2 linked regions of the Callithrix jacchus genome follow. The protein of the gene in region 1 interacts with the protein of each later gene in a pairwise test. Links are inferred from orthologs where the notes say so. Each region holds a gene or a part of one and is shown on either strand. Other genes may lie near its edges.

What was found.
Region 2: the proteins of PDIK1L (region 1) and C7H1orf174 interact in binary tests that used the Homo sapiens proteins (3 or more experiments, as listed by UniProt). The two-hybrid records come from large-scale screens. The link is inferred for Callithrix jacchus from reciprocal best matches to the Homo sapiens genes PDIK1L and C1orf174.

What each region holds. Positions count from the first base shown.
Region 1 is NC_133508.1:62,761,642-62,770,750, forward strand, and holds the start of PDIK1L (serine/threonine-protein kinase PDIK1L), read left to right. Parts: upstream 1-3,090; 5' UTR 3,091-3,682; coding exon 3,683-3,857; intron 3,858-5,596; coding exon 5,597-5,898; intron 5,899-9,109.
Region 2 is NC_133508.1:41,763,573-41,771,916, reverse strand, and holds the end of C7H1orf174 (UPF0688 protein C1orf174 homolog), read left to right. Parts: intron 1-4,380; coding exon 4,381-4,494; intron 4,495-5,604; coding exon 5,605-6,093; intron 6,094-6,610; coding exon 6,611-6,727; 3' UTR 6,728-7,552; downstream 7,553-8,344.

The sequences.
Region 1 (9,109 bases):
TTTGATATTACTATATATAAGAAACTTCCCACTTTTTTTTTTTTTTTTTTTTTGAGACAGAGTCTTGCTCTGTCATCCAAGCTGGAGTGCAGTCGTGTGACCTTGGCTCACTGCAACCTCTATCTCCCAGGTTCAAGAGATTCTCCTGCCTCAACCTCCCAAGTAGCGGGGACTACAGGTGCACATCATCATGCCCACCTAATTTTTATATTTTTAGTAGAGATGGGGTTTCACCATGTTGGCCAGGCTGGTCTCAAACTCCTGACCTCAAGTGATATGCCCACCTCAGCCTTCCAGAGTGCTAGGAGTACCTGTGTAAGCTACCACGCCTGGCCTCTTGCACATACCTTTTCGCAGCAGTATAGTACTTCAGCCTATGTATGTACTGTAATTTATTCAATCAGTTCTTTATTATTAGACATGCAAGCGGTTTCCAATCTTTTGCTATTCATTAAAGCAATAATGAATAGCCTTGTACATACAGGTTTGTTGTTGTGTGTGTGTGTGTGTGTGTGTTTACCAGTATATTACCAGGATAGATTCCTCGAAATCTAGTATTTGATCTAGGGTTACTGGATCAAATAATATGGCTATATATTGCCAAACTTCTTTGTTAACAGTTATATCACTTTGCCTTCCCACCAGCAATGTATGAGAATGCAGGTGTATTTTGATATCATATCAGATTGAGGAGGCTGCAGAGATGAATCACAAAGATTCCTATCCGCAGGAATTCTCAGTCTTTTAGGAGGCCTACGGGCAACAACAACAAAAAATGACATAACATACTAAGCAGGAGGCAGATTCACCCTGAAGCTAATTAATCTTTAGCTTTGGAGTCCTTTGCTTATAGGGACCCTTTCCAGTGTTCCAGGTATGTGTTCACAGGGCCATTGTATAACCTTTTCCCTAAGGACACCGCAAATTATTTAAGTTTCAGGCCCCACAAGACCTGAACCCACCTCACGGACTTTACAGCGAGCCTAAATTTGAGAATGAGGGTGGATTTCAAATCTCATCTGCAGCTAACTTGAGAGCAAGAGTTCCTATGATATTCAATGACACACAAAGAAAACACAAACGCTACTTTGAGAGAGGTCCCTCCCGATTTGGATCAATAACCCACACAGGTAGCTAGCTGTGTACACAAAGCCTTCTATATTTTCCCTTTATTTTTTTTTTTTTGAGATGGAGTTTCGCTGTTGTTACCCAGACTGGAGTGCAATGGCACGATCTCGGCTCACTGAAACCTCTGCCTCCTGGGTTCAAGCAATTCTCCTGCCTCAGCCTCCCGAGTAGCTGGCGCGCATCACCACGCCCAGCTGATTTTTGTATTTTTAGTGGAGACGGGGTTTCACCTTGTTGACCAGAATGGTCTCGATCTCTTGACCTTGTGATCCACCCGCCTTAGCCTCCCCAAGTGCTGTGATTATAGGTGTGAGCCACCGCGACCCGAAATTTTCCCTTTACTTTTGAGGGCGGGAAATAAGTCTTGGCCTGTCACCAGTGTTTCCAGCAAACAGCTGAAGACCTGACACTTGGATGGCACTCAGGACAAAAGTCTGAACAGATTACAGAACCAATGTGGGGTTTTTTAAGGGGACAGAGTATTACACCGGGGAGTGGGTATTCAAGGTAGACACACCCCAAAAAAGACACTTCAGTAAAAAGAGGCAGAGGTGTTTCCTCATCTGCAAAAATAGGATAATAAAACCTCCCCTTGTGGGGTTAGGTTAGGGTTAAACAAGATAATTTATATATGTAAAGATAATCTCAGACTCTCGGGAGAAATAGCATAAATGGAGAACAGAAAATAAAACGGGTTGATCTTTGAGCACAGCGACAGGGATTCTTTATACATCGTGCCTTATAGAGCGAGCGCTAGGAGGAGGAACCATCACCTTGCTGACAAGTAATCGGTGCAAAATAAATCGGGGAAGAAGGAATGGACGTTTCTGGCGGATGCTTACTGATCTAACAACTGGATGACTGAGAGGTCCGGGCCTGAGTGACCCCGCGCTGGCTGTGGGGCCGACAGCGTGCAGGATCTGACTGACAGCGTGTGGCACCCGGGCGACTGCAGCAGCGGCGGAACTCCCATTGACCGTCCTGTCTCGAAAGGGCCCGGAGCGCGGTGGATCTGGGCTCGGACCGAGGCCTCTTCCGCGCGCCGACTGCAGACCGACCCTCCACCAGGAACCTCGGGGGGACGCCGCGGTCACTGCAGCCAGGTGCGGGCGTCACCGTCCCCTCCCTCCCAGCGCCAGGCAGGGGGCCCTGGCTCCCTGCTGCCACCACCGGGAAACAATGAGGCGCCGGCTTCTTTAAGGGAGATACCACCGCGCCGGCGGGGCAGGGGACGACGTCTTCCCAGATGATCGCACTCAGCCCCGCGCCGCTGCCGCCTTCTCGGCAACTGCATCGTCCGCAAACATGGCTCAGTGACTCGGACAAAAGCTGCAGCCTCCCTCCCGGCGGGGCGGACGCCAGACCTTCTTGCTCGGGCCGCGCCTCCACGCGGGCCCGCCAAAGCAGCACCGCGCCCCGCAAGCACCCAAGGCCCGCGCAGAAGATGCAAGCGGCGTACCACCCCAGCGAGCCCCGCATCCCAGCCCGCAGCTCGGTAGGTTGGAAGGGGGGTGGCGAGGGGGAGGGGAGGCCACGGCGGGGCGCACGCAGCCCCAGGCCAGGGCCTGCTGCTGCAGACCGTCCCCGGGGCCGCGTGCCCTACGCGCCCGCTGCGGCTGGAGGGTGACCGAGACCCCGCGTGGCATGGCCTCGCGGTTCTCGGACCCGGCCACCCCTGCGGAGAGCAGCACCAGTGGTGCGCTCCGTAGCGCGTACACCTCCGACTCCAGGATCTGCAAATCCTCGGGAGAGGGAGGTGGCGAGCGGAGGGCCGGCCACGCGCCTGATCAGTGGCGCGGAACTTACCGGCTCGCACTACGGAAAGCCGGAGGGGGGCGGGGCCGCCAGCGTAAGGGGGTGTGTCCGCGCGCACCACGGGGGCGCGCGCCGGCCGCTGACTGGAGGCGGCGGCTGCAGCGGAGGCGCGAGCTGCCCGATAATGGCGGCCTGCAGAGCCCGTGAGAGGGAGAAGCGGCAGCGTCTACCCTGAGGTAAATCTGGCTCTTCGGCGTGGTGGAGAGGCCCTGCTGCAGTGCCGACGGCCCTGCATGTGCCTCCCTCCCCGGGAGGCCTGTCACAGACCTGTCAGTGGAGTCATCCTGGGGAAGGCCCCGCGCCCCTCAGGCCACCGGCCCTAGCCGCGGCCTCCTCTCACACCTGGGCCACCTCCCCAAGCCCCGGCCCTCAGCCCCCGGCCCCGAGGAGTTGAGGCAGCTGCAGGGCTGGCTCCTCTGGGCAAAGGGGCTCGGGAGCCTCCCCTCCGGGCTTCATCTGAGCGCGGCCGAGGAGGGGGAGGGCCTGACACTTGGCCAATGAGCGCGGCCTGAGCCGCCGCGTCGGACAACACCTCTGGCCCGGACTGGCCCTTCACGGGCGCCGGCAGGTGTCTGGCCTGGCCGGCCCGCGTCCCGGCGCCAGGTTAGAAAGGCGAGAGCGAGGTCCCGCCACTTGCCGTCGAAAGTCGCTTAGGTTCGCACCGGATGCATCATTCGATCCGGGATCCCACGGGTTTCATAAACACCCCTCCTCCCTATTCGGGAAGGTGCTCCTCCCTATGGGGACTGTACCTGGCTGGAGAGGACATGGGACTGCTTCAGAGACACGAACCACCTTGAGTGGATGTGACTGGCGATCGCCGAAGAGCAGGAAAACTCGTCTGCTGTACAGTCGGGGCAGAGGATTCTGTGGCAGGAAATCAGACACTAGGAAATTCGGTAGCGATTTGAAGGGTGGGTGTCCGGTTAGAGGAAGTGGGACTGAAAGCAATCTCAGAAGTCCTTTCTTGATTAAATCTATCCTATGGACTTAACGCAGCGGATCCCAACTTCTCAGGCTCTAGGGTCAGTAGCTTTTTGCATTTCCCAGCTGAACAGAATAAATATTGTACAATCTCAGGTTACTTTTCTTGCCCGTGGCAACAATCTACAAAAGCGAATTCGTTCGTGAAGTTCGTTAGAATCTAGAAATTCTTTGGGGAGTAAGGAAGCACACTTTAGACTGTCTTTATTCAACACATGAGTATTTCTGTATAGGGCCTTTGCTCTCGCCTTTAAACCATTCACTAAGTTGAATTCCCAAGAACTCTGTTAGAGAGCCCATTGATATGCAGGACTTTTTTTTTTTTTTTTTTTTTTTTTTTTTAAGAGACAGGATTTTACCATGTTGACCAGGATGGTCTCGATTTCTTGACCTAGTGATCCGCCCGCCTCGGCCTCCCAAAGTGCTGGGATTACAGGCGTGAGCCACCGCGCCCGGCCCACAGAATATTTTTTGTTGGCAAAAATGACCTAGAACTATTGTTTACTCCAGCTCTCTTCTGATTAGTAAAAAGGAAACATAAGTAAAAAATTTTAAATAGCTATTGTTAAATGACTACAAAAGGTAACTGTATTCTAAGTAGCTTGCTTTATTTTTAAAGAAAAGTTTCGGGCTGGGCGCGGTGGCTCACGCCTGTAATCCCAGCACTTTGGGAGGCCGAGGCGGGTGGATCACGAGGTCAAGAGATCAAGACCATCCTGGTCAACATGGTGAAACCCGTCTCTGCTAAAAATACAAAAAATTAGCTGGGCATGGTGGCTCGTCCTGTAATCCCAGCTACTCAGGAAGCTGAGGGAGGAGAATTGCCTGAACCCAGGAGGCGGAGGTTGCGGTGAGCCGAGATCGCACCATTGCACTCCAGCCTGGGTAACTGCGTCTCAAAAAAAAAGTTTCTTCTCCATAAAGTTTATTTTCATTTATTTTGTAAGAAATAAGGAGATGACATAAGAAACAAAATTAAAATATGAATAAAAGTTTGGCCACTTTTGCATAATGAAAACAAACATTTTCAGTTCTATAAATGTTCTGGTTCACTGTCAGGCCTTAAGCATAAGCCAGGTGTTTGTATTTCTAACTGTGAGGGGGTTTTGTTTTTGCTGTTTTATGACCATTATGTCTGTGTCAGCCTGAAGGAGAAGCTGGGATTTTGCTTGCTTGCTTGTTTTTTCCTGATCAGTGGATAAGAATGCTGAATTTTGGGAATGTATTTTTAACAGTGACATTTTTCAAGCAGTTCATACAAGAGACAGTATACTGTAGTGCTTAAAATTGTGGTTGTCTGAGGCAGATGGCCTGATTTAAAATCCCAGTTCCATGAGTTACTAGCTATTGACCTTAGGCATTTCCTTTAACCTCTCCATTACATAGTTTCATCTATAAAAAGACCATACTAGTATCTACCTCATAAGATTATTATGAGGATTAACCAAATTTAATATTCGAAAGAGTTTAAAACAGTTCCTGATACATAGTAAATACTACCTGTTAGCTTTATTGTTACTATTCTTAAAATTAGATTTTCCCTAGATATAGCAAATATCCCTCAAGCACTGCAGACAGTGAAACAGATGACAAGCAAATCATATATAAAAGGAAATACAAGCCAGTAGGTATACATAATTTCAACAGAGCACTTTGTTGATTTTTCCAGAAACCTCGACCTTGAAGATGGTGAGTAGCCAGCCAAAGTACGATCTAATACGGGAGGTAGGCCGAGGTAGTTACGGTGTTGTGTATGAAGCAGTCATCAGAAAGACTTCTGCACGGGTGGCAGTGAAGAAAATTCGATGTCACGCACCTGAAAATGTTGAACTAGCTCTTCGTGAGTTCTGGGCACTAAGCAGTATCAAGAGCCAACATCCAAATGTGATTCACTTGGAGGAATGCATCCTACAAAAGGATGGGATGGTGCAAAAGATGTCCCACGGCTCTAATTCTTCCCTTTATTTACAGGTATGTGTTGTTGATTGGGAAATAGAAATGATTCGAACATGGCATTGGTCAGCAAGAGGAATGACAGGGTCAAACATTTCCCTTTAAATGCAGGTGTTTTGTAGTTAGAAGTAGATAAGTGTCTGCCAAGAATTGAGTAGATGTTTGCTTTAAAACAAGGTTTTATTTAAACCTGTGATGCACATACCTAAAAATAACATAAGCCACCTGTTATGCAATGGTACTTGCCAGTCTGCATAGGAATGGGGCAAGATAGGAGCTAGAGAAGTGCTTGAGACTACAGTCTAATAACTTCATTTCTTTGAAATCAATAATTCTGGACTTGACAGAAGAAAAGGAAAAACTCCACAACCAATAGCAACACCCTTAGGTAATTGGGCATCTCTTTTATAAATCGCTGGTTTGAATGTCAGCCTTTGCTGTTTTAGAGGGATATTTGGTTTCTTCACCATGCAATTCCAGTTAATTTTCATGAAGTACGTGGTTTAACACCTGAATGTTATTAACAGTGCTAATAGCTAACATTTGAATTCCCACTCAGTTCCATGCTCTGTGTTAAGTGCTTTAAAAGCAGTTGCTCAAAACAATCCTATGAGGAAAGGACTATTATTATCTTCACTACAAATGAAGAAACTGAGGCTTAGGATAGATAATGAATTTATCCAAAGTTACATACCTAGTAAGTGGTAGAATTGGGAGCTGGAGCTAAGACTGGCAGCTAAAGCTTATGCTCTCTTAACTTCCAAATTACTCTTCTGTAAACCTGGGTAAATGGAAAAGCTTTTCTGTTTTTCTTTTGTTGGCTTCTGTCAGAAATTTAAATCTCTAGTAGCTCTATACTCAAAGAATAAAAAAAGATATTAAGATATAGCTTGTTAAAGGTTAGGGCAAAATTTCTTTTTTTTTTTTTTGGATAGAGACGGGGTTTCACCATGTTGCCCAGGCTGGTCTTGAACTCCTGAGCTTAGGCAGTCCGCCTGCCTCGTCCTCCCAAAGTGCTGGGATTACAGGCTTGAGCCACCACGCCTGGCTGCAAAATTTCTTAAAGCTAGTCATTCTTGGAAAAGAAAACAACTTTGAGTGCATCTAAATTCAGAATTTACCATGAGACTTTTGCCATTCAAAGTCTGCTTTTGGGCGGGGTGCTATGGGCTCATCACGCCTGTGAGACCAGCCTGGCCAACATGGCAAAACCCTGTCTCTACTAAAAAAATACAAAAATTAGCCTGGCATGGTAATGTGCAACTGTAATCCTAACTACTCAGAAGGTTGAGGCAGGAAAATCTCTTGAACCCAGGAGGCAGAGGCTGCAGCAGGCCGAGATGACACCTTTGCATTCCAGCATGGGGGACAGAGCGAGACTCTGTCTCAAAAAAAAAAAGGCTCTTTTGGCTAGGTGCAGTGGCTTACACAACACTTTAGGTGGCAGAGGCAGGAGGCAGGAGTATCACTTGAACCCAGGAGTTCAAGACCAGCCTGGATAATATAGCGAAACCTCATCTGTGCAAAAAAAAAATTTTTAGGTGTGGTGGCATGCACCTTATAGTCCCACCTACTTGAGAGGCTGAGGTGGAAGGATTGCTTGAATCCAGGAGGCAGAGGTTGCAGTGAGCTGACATTGTGCCACTGCACTGCAGCCTGGGTGACAGAGCAAGATTCTGTCTCAAACAAAACCTGTTTTTAAAAGAAGAAAAGCTTTTGGAGTAGGAACAACAAAACAAATACATGAATGTATATATTAAGAAACTTGCAAGTTTCTCTGTATGATGAGCAAATATTAGTCTTGAGAATTTAATTTATATTACAATTTAGCACTCTGTGCCCTGAAGTTATTATTATTATTTTTTTTGAGATGGAGTCTTGCTCTGTTGCTCAGGCTAGAGTGCGGTGGTGTGATCTCGGCTCACTGCAACCTCCACTTCCCAGTGATTTTCCTGCCTCAGCCTTCTGAGTAGTTGGGACTAAGGTGCCTGCCACCACACCCAGCTAATTTTTTTATGTTTTGTTTGCTTTTCTAAAAGTGCTTATTATGTAAGTTGAATTGATAGAAAATATTGGAAACATTCTTACTCTGTTTTCTCTTAAAAGTGGATAGAGGCTGGGCACGGTGGCTCACACCTGTAATCCTAGCACTTTGGGAGGCTGAGGCAGGCAGATTACCTGAGCTCAGGAGTCTGAGACCAGCCTTGGCAACATGGTGAAACCCCATCTCTACTGAAATACAAAAATTTAGCCAGGCATAGCGGCATGTGCCTGTATTCCCAGCTACTTAGGAAGCTGAGGCAGGAGAATTTCTTGAACCTGGGAGGCAGGGATTGCAGTGAGCCAAGATCACACCTCTGCACTCTAGCCTGGGTGACAGAATGAGACTCCATCTCCAAAACAAAACAAAAACAAACAAAAAGGGGGATAGAAAGCCCAACATGGTGGCTCACGCCTATAATTCCAGCACTTTGGGAAGCTGAAGTCAGTGAATCACTTGAGCTCAGGAGTTCAAGACCAGCCTGGGCAAAATGGCGAAACCCCATCTCTACAAAAAGTACAAAAAGTTAGCCAGGTGTGGTGGTGCACACCTCTGGTCCCAGCTGTTTGGGAAGCTGAGGTGGGAGGATCACTTGAGCCCAGGAGACAGAGGTTGCAGGAAGCCTAGATTGGGCCACTGCACTCCAGCCTGGCGACAGAGCCAGACCCTGTCTCAGAAAAAAAAAGTGGATAGAACTTTGCCAAACTTTACATTTAGTTTTAGAGATTAAGATGCATGATCTCTTTTGAAGTAGAAAAGCAAAGATATTTAAACAAGATTTATTAGCTGAGCATGGTGGCATGCACCTATAGTTCTAGCTACTCAGGAGACTGAGGCAGGAGGATTGCTAGAGTCCAGTTCAAGACTGCAGTGACCCATGATTGCACCATTGCACTCTAGCCCAGATCATGGAGTGGGACCCTGTCTCAAAAATAAATAAATAAACATATTATTTAGTGCTGAGTCCAGATCCAGCAGTTGTTATAGTAACTAGGCATTAGCTCATAAAGTTTTTTTTTCTTTTCTTTTTTTTTTTGAGACAGTCTTGCTGTGTCACCAGGCACCAGGGTGGAGTGCAGTGGCACGATCTCAGCTCACTGCAACCTCTGCCTCTCAGGTTCAAGCAATTCTCTTGCCTCAGCCTCCCAAGTAGCTAGGACTACAGGTACACGCTACCACGCCCAGCTA
Region 2 (8,344 bases), about 21 Mb from region 1:
ACTGCCCCCCACCCACTTTGTCACAGCCTCCACTGTTCTTAAGAGAGCTCCCTTAGGCTTGAATGTCTCCACATTCCATTGCAGTGAATTCAGTGCCTTTGGGAAGACTCTAAGAGCTGTCTGTTGAGTTGCCTGCCTTTCACCCCAATGAGAGCCTCGGAGCCAGGCTGTGCAGCTATGGACAGCAATAGGATTCTCTCTGAATGGGAGCGGCGGGGGATCTAGCAGCAGCCTGAGATCCTCCGCATTTGCTTCCCCTGGTCTGGAACCACCTCCTATCAGGGACAAGGTTGATGGGGCCCCAGTCTTCTTAGTTCACTGGGAGATTTATGGAGCCAAGGTGAAGCCTCCATTCTACAAATAGGGTCTGAACAGAAGGGAGGTCCCTCTTCTCAACCCTACTCACTCAGGACCTCGTCTCAGCAACAAGTGGGATGAGAGCAGAAAGAGAAACACTGCTGCCCTGCTTGCCCTAGGAAGAAAGCCCTCTGCCTGGGAGCCGGGGGAGCTGGCCCTGTGTTCTTGGCTGCAGCAGGACAGAGCTCAAATGCCCCAGACTCTCCATGTCCTAACCAAATTATGTAGATATTCTGGAGCAAGTTTTCTCCATTTGCTGGGTGCCCGTAGGACCATTTCCAAAGGCTCTCTAAATGGTTGTTTTGGGACTGCTCATCACTTTGTCTGAGTAGGTCCTCAAGCTGTCTCGGCCAGCCCTTTTGGAGGAACTGTGTTTGTGCTTCTGATATTCCAGTTTTTAAACAACCTAGTAGAATGAGGAGGATGTCAATGATGACAAAGTCTTTTGTTTTTGGACTGTGGGACCAATCTGAGCTGCCCAACTGCAGAGCAAGAATCTGCAAGTGAGAATGTGACCAATTCTTGATATTTTAGAGTTGACACCTTGGAGGTGGTTAATCCATGGTGAAACTGAAGCTAAGCTGCTCTCATATTTTGACTCCTGTCAGTCCGGAGTGGACAGCAGATGGCCGGCTGGTGTCTATAACAGCCAGCGCTTCCAAGCCCACCAGACCCTCTGGCTTTTCTCTGCAGAAGGGGCCAAAAGGTCACCTGATGAGCCAGTCACACATGAAGAGTTCAGAACCACTGCTGCCAAGATGCTGATGGAATCTTTGAGACGCACCTGCTTCAGGAAAAGAACTGCAGGTGCAGAACACACAGACTGGCAGGCATAGAACACGGACCTGCAGGCGCAGAACACACAGATGAGCAGGCACGGAACACAGACCTGCAGGCACAGAACGCTGAGACCCGCAGGCGCGGAACACGGACCTGCAGGCGCAGAACACACAGATGCGCAGGCACGGAACTCACAGACATGCAGGCACAGAACTCGCAGACATGCAGGCACAGAACTCGCAGACATGCAGGCACGGAACTCGCAGACATGCAGGCACAGAACGCTGAGACCCGCAGGCACAGAACACGGACCTGCAGGCACAAAACGCTGAGACCCGCAGGCGCGGAACACGGACCTGCAGGCACAGAACACACAGACACGCAGGCGTGGAACGCTGAGACCCGCAGGCTCAGAACACACAGACGCAGACTTGGAGGCGCAGAACGCTGAGACCCGCAGGCAGAGAACACGGACCTGCAGGCACAGAACGCTGAGACCCACAGGCAGAGAACATGGACCTGCAGGCACAGAACGCTGAGACCCGCAGGCGCGGAACACGGACCCGCAAGCTCAGAACACACAGACGCAGACTTGGAGGCGCAGAACGCTGAGACCCGCAGGCGCGGAACACGGACCTGCAGGCACAGAACACACAGACACGCAGGCGTGGAACGCTGAGACCCGCAAGCTCAGAACACACAGACGCAGACTTGGAGGCACAGAACGCTGAGACCCGCAGGCGGAGAACACGGACCTGCAGGCACAGAACGCTGAGACCCGCAGGTGCAGAACACAGACCTGCAGGCACAGAACGCTGAGACCCGCAGGTGCAGAACACGGACCTGCAGGCACAGAACACTGAGACCCGCAGGTGCAGAACACGGACCTGCAGGCACAGAACGCTGAGACCCGCAGGTGCAGAACAGAGTTCAGTCCCCACCTCAGGCAGTTTTTGGGAGTCATATCTGGGGTGAGCTATGGTGATGGAAGAGAGATTTGGAGGCCAGGCATCACTTGTGTAATCTTATAAGCTCCTTACCCAAGTTCTCATCTGAAATGTGGGTACCGTTCCTTTAAAGCTGCTCAGGCACGGAGCTTGGCTCCCCACAGCATATTCCAGCGCAGGGCAGTGCAGTGTCTGGAGGAGGGGTCCCAGCAGGGAGGAGAGAATGGGCAGTGGCTTTCTAGAACAGAGGTGTCTTTTCCCTATGAGGCTCATGATGACATTTTAGAGAGATGGGCTTCAGACCCAGTGGGAGGATTTTAATGAAAGGTGTTTATGGCAACTCTTAGCAAGTTCTGTTACCTCTGTTGCCTCAGCTCCCTTGGTGTAGCTGTGATCATGACGTCTGCCGAGGCTCTCAGCAAAGCCCTGCCCTCATGAGAGGATGGAGGCCCAGCCCCTGGTGTGCCATGGTAGCAGGTGCTTCACGGGCCTGTGGGCACCTGATTTGTCTTGTGTATAGCTGGCAGGTGTCCTGGCCTCCTGTCGGCTGCTGCCTGCTCTTCCCCGTTTTAAATGCAACTCCAACTGCCACAGTATCATGGCATCTTGGAGCTGCCACTTCCCAGGGCTTCCGGAGCTGTCTTGGGCTACGGGCTGATGGTGAAGATGGCTTATTTCTGTGTGTCATTCTTGTTTCCTTTTTAATTTCTCTTATCTGCTGTTGGGCAGAGCACTCTTCATCCATCCCTCTGGGTTCCAGTTCTAGGGCCTGTCGGCAGTAGCTCTTGGGCCTTTCCTGGCCGTTCCAGCCTGCATTGCTCCTATTTATTGCTTCTGCTACCCACACTCATTTCTTTTGAGTTTTAAGGTGAGCTTTAAAACGTATCATCTTCTGAGTGCAATGTGATATTCTAGACTGGATTCTGGAGCAGAGAAACAGTTCATGGAGAAACTGATAAAACACAAGTAAAGTCTATAATTTAGTGAAGAGTACTGTGCTGTTGCTAATTTCTTTCTTTCTTTTTTTTTTTTTTGAGATGGAGTCTCCATCTGTCACCCAGGCTGGAGTGTAATAGCGCAATCTGAGATCACTGCAACTTCGGCTTCCTGGGTTCAAGCGATTCTCCCAGGCAGCTGAGACTACAGACATGCGCCACCATGCCCGGCTAATTTTTGTACTTTAGTAGAGACAGGGTTTCACCATGTTGGCCAGGCTGGTCTCGAACTCTGACCTCAGATGATCCACCCACCTTGGCCTCTCAAAGTGCTGGGATTACAGGTGTGAGCCACCCCATCTGGCCACTAATTTCTGAATGTTGACAAATGTCCTGTAGTTGTTTTAACATTAGTGGAAGCAGAGTGAAGGCTACATAGCAACTCTCTGTACTATTTTTTTATCATTATTTTTTCAGAGACACGGTCTTTGTCACCCAGGTGGAGTGCAGTGGGACAGTCATAGCTCACTGCAGCATCAAACTCCTGGGATCAAGTGATCCTCTCACCTCAGCCTCCCATATACCTGGAACTACAGGTGTACACCACCCCACCTGGCTAATTTTTTTTTTTTAATATTTTAGAGATGGGATCTTGCTGTGTTGCCCAGGCTGGTCTTGAACTCCTGGCCTCAAACAATCCTGCCTCAGACTCCCAAGTAGCTGTGATGACAGGTGTGAGCCATCACACCCGTTTCTTTGTACTACTTTTTGCAACTTTTCTGAAAACCTAAAATTATTCCTAAATAGTTAAAGTGTTGTGTCTTTAATTTCTTTCTTGTTATTAGAAGAGTTTGCATTGCATTCAGAGTGAAAGAGGAGTAGAGCAGTTTGTTAATATGAAGATTTGTGAGACAGTAGCTTGCTGCTTTCCACTAATAGAATAGGACTCTAATTTGAGGGAGAGAAGCTTTGGTTTTCTCATGCTGCCTTTTCTCAAGAACTTTGACAATGTAGAAAAGTTGCAGCTCCCTCTCAGGGAGGGCATGTCCTGCTTATTCTGAACACTTTGAAGTTGACTTAAGTTCCACTAATGTACACATAGTGGTTACTAGAAACATGCAAGATAAGGGACCAGATTGCCCCAAGCCTCTGAGATCCTGGGAAGAGTAGCTCCTGTATCTTAAACCTAGGCACAGTTTTGTTCGGATTTGCTCATTCAGGCCACAGGTGTCTCCACAAAGATGATACTCCGTGGGAGTAGGAGGGGCTGTCTTCGGTTATCTGTAAGTGGGAAATTCTCCTCTGCGCATTCATGCTGCTTTCCGCAGAGCACTCTCTGACTGGCTCTCGATCTGATCTAGCTCACAGGTGGAGTGCGGTCTTCAGCACGCCTGAAAGCCCGAAATTGTTCAGCAACCGGGTTGGCCTCTGCCCAGGAAGTCGCTGGTTCCACGTCTGCCAAGACAGCATGTCTGGTGAGCCCTGTTACCATGGAGAACGCCAAGTTCCTGACTCAAGGGTCCATTTTCATACAAAATTGTCATTCCAAGATGTGTCGCTTTAGGAAAATATCAAATGTTGCTTATCTGCCAGAGGGGGAGTATTTCAGATGAAAAGGTGGCAGCACTCTAATTGTCTTCAGGGAAAGACACACTCGACAGGCCACCCGTGTGTGTGTGTGTGTGTGTGTGTGTGTGTGTGTGTCTCTCTCTCTCTCTCTCTCTCTCTCTCTCTCTCTCTCTCTCTCTCTGTCTCTAGACCCAGGCTCTATCCTAGCACCTGCCCGCCCGTGTGTATGTGTGTGTGTGTGTGTGTGTCTCTAGACCCAGGCTCTATCCTAGCACCTGCCCACCTGTGTGTGTGTGTCTAGACCCAGGCTCTGAGACCACTTGTGCTCGTAGCTCTGCTCTTAGGTCAGCTGTTGAGTCTTGTTGGCCTGTTGCCATGCCGCCTCACCCCCAGAGGCTTTAAGAGAAAGGCAGAGTGGGTGGGAAAAGGATGCTCACGTCAAATGCCGTTCAACCTAGCGTAGCTGTCATTTCCGAGGAGTGAGTTCCTGAACTTACTGGTGAAGTAGAGCTGCGCCACTGAGCCCAGAGCTGCAGCTGAGGGGTTGGGACTTGGCCATATGCCAGCCTCTAGCACAGTTTTGCTCATAATGAGGGGTTTGGTAAAAATTTGTCAAAGTCAATTTAGCAAATATTTTTAAGCACCTACTGTGTGCCAGACAGTATTCAGCGAATAAAGCAAAGACCCCTGCCTTCACGGAGCTTTTGCCATAGCAGAAATGCATGAAAGCTGGTTCTTTCATTGTAATTGTATAATATATAAATCCATGCTTCAGAATTCCCCTCGGGAACTGTGATGCCTCTAGGAAAACAAAGTGGAGGAGTGCTGTTGGGGCATGTCTGGATTCAGTCGCAGCCTCACTTGGATTTTGTCTGTTGGCGGCAGAACAGTGAAATGGCGATCCGTGAAGGTTGTGGCCTTCTCATTTCACACGTGAGGAGAAGTACTAGCCTCTGCACCAAGGCCTGGTTCATTTGCTACATGTGTCTGGTCCCCTGATATTTTTTTCTTGACAGACTTCCTCATCCCACAAAGCCACAGACAGGCGAATGTCCAAGAAGTTCAAGTGTGACAAAGGTCATCTTGTGAAGTCAGAATTACAGAAGCTTGTCCCTAAGAATGACACCGCTTCTTTGCCAAAAGTGACACCGGAGACCCCTTGTGAAGATGAGTTTGCTGAAGGCAGGGCCTTGCTTCCAGGAGGTGAGGCTGGAGTTTCTGTGCAGCAGGAGGCTGCAAATCTGCCCCTTGGTGGCTGCAGAGCTGTGAGTGACTCTCGCTTAGCAAAGACTGAAGGTGGCCTATCCCTGCCGAAACACAGTGCTGGGGCAGGGGCAGAAGAATCCAACAGCAGCTCCACTGTGCAGAAGCAGAATGAGTCAGGGCTGGAGGGAGAGGACATGCAGAAGCCACCACTTCAGATGGACAACAGCATCTTCCTAGATGATGACAGCAACCAGCCAATGCCCGTGAGCCGCTTCTTTGGAAACGTTGAGCTCATGCAGGTAAGAGTGGCCCCTTCCTCTTTCCGAGGGCATCAGGCAGCCAAGCAGCACACTGCCCACTTACTGCATGTAAATAATGCCTTGACAAAAAATTCAACGTCAGTTAATCATTTTAACCCCAGAGGAGGAAATGAAACCGTTGGCTAATTGGGAGCACTCCCTCCGTCTCCCAAGCTGAGAATCATTGCCATGAGGAAAGGCTGTGGCGGGGGAAGGGGGGCGGTCTCCTCCCGAAGCCACAGGTATGTTTTCATGGAATCAGGTTTGTGGTTTCTGGAGCGTCCATCCCACACTTTCTGTTGCTTTCTCTTTTGTTTTGAACCCAGCATCTTCCCTTCTCTGCTTCATCAGCCCAGTAAGGAGGAAGCTCTTATCTAGAGAAAGTGCTGGGACTCAGTCACTTTCCCGCGTCTAAAAGGGAAGAGTGCTCTGCAGCCCCAAAGCAAGTGGATGGGTGCATTGCAGATGCAAATGTGTGTTGCTCGTGACTGAAGTCCGTGTTTTCTTCTCCTCTAAGGACCTCCCACCTGCGTCTTCATCTTGTCCTTCAATGAGCAGACGAGAGTTCAGAAAAATGCATTTCAGAGCCAAAGACGACGATGATGATGATGATGATGATGATGCGGAAATGTAGAGCCTTTACCAGATGATGTCTGTGTGCTTAGTACCATTAACCTTTGACAGTTTAGCACATTACTAGATTTATATAAAGTGTGTCTCCAAGAGAATGTCTTCTTGGTCATACTTCAGAACTGACCCATCACAGTCTATAGTGCAAAGCACCAAATGCCTGTGGAAGATGTACTCATGGGAGCTAACACTAAAATAGTCTTTGAAATTGCAAAGCTGCCGTACTGTGCCAGTGGCCTTTCTTTGTTGTTGTTTTTTTGTTTGTTTGTTTTGGAGATGAAGTTTCTCTCTCCATCTTGCTCTGTCGCCAGGCTGGAGTGCAGTGGCGTCATCTCGGCTCACTACAGCTTCTGCCTCCCGGGTTTAAGCAATTCTCTTGCCTCAGCCTCCCCAGTAGCTAGGATTACAGGCATGCACCACCATACCCAGCTAGTTTTTGTATTATTAGTAGACAGGGTTTCACCATGTTGGCCAAGTTGGTCTCGAATTCCTGACCTCAGGTAATACACCTGCCTCAGCCTCCCAAAGTGCTGGGATTACAGGCATGAGCCACCGCACCCAGCCAGTGTCCTTTCTTACTGACGTACATACATGATGGCTTGAGTCAGCTGCAGGGCAGAGGCTCGCTGAGAGGGATCTTTGTAAAGACAGCTCTTCACTTCAGCTTGGTGGCTTTAGTTTATTTTCCGTTGTCATAATTTGATTATTCTTGTGATGAACTAAATGCTAGTTCTTAAAGAACTCTTTTTTTCTATATGTGGAGCTCATGTTTACCTTGGAAATTTTGCAAAATACATTTAAAAAAGAAATAAAACATATTTTGAAAGCAGTCTTATGTTCCTGAAACCGGATTCCTTTCTCAATGCCTGGGAGCCACATAGAGGAACCGAATCCTGCCTCAGTCTCATGCTCCCAAATGCTTGTAAGGCTGGGTCCTTTTTTTTTTCTTTTTTTTGAGACTGAGTCTCCCTCTGTCGCCCAGGCTGGAGTGCAGTGGCACAGCCTTGGCCCACTGCAACTTCTGCCTCCCGGGTTCAAGTGATTCTCTGACCTCAGCCTCCCAAGTAGCTAGGATTACAGGCATGTACCACCATGCCCGGCTAATTTTTTGTATTTTTAGTAGATACGGGGTTTCACCATGTTGGCCAGGCTGGTCTCAAACTCCTGACCTCAGGTGATCTGTCCACCTTAGCCTCCAAAAATGCTGGGATTACAGGTGTGAGCCACTGTGCCTGGCACAGGTCCATTCTTTTAGACCCGTTAACCACTGAGGCCCTTGGGAAAGGGCCCCTTCCCTCCTCTCAAGTGGACTTCTGCTCCCACGTGTCTGCCACAGAAATGTTGGGCTTTCCTCTCCTGTGCGGTGGGGAAGGTCAGCCATCCAGCAAGGGCTGTGCTCTCCTCCAGGCCATAGAGAGGGCCGTGTGTAGCTGCTTCACAAGGACTGTGTTCCCCAGCCCCACCAATGTCAAGGAGCACCTCGCTGCGTGTTCTCGCCTGGGGCAGTGGAGAGAAGCCGTTGGGAGTGCTTTGTCCATGGTCTGCTACCAACTGCACATAGAAGCCAAGTGGACCAACCAGGGGCGAGCTGGGGTCCCTGGGTGGCCAAGGACAAGGAGCT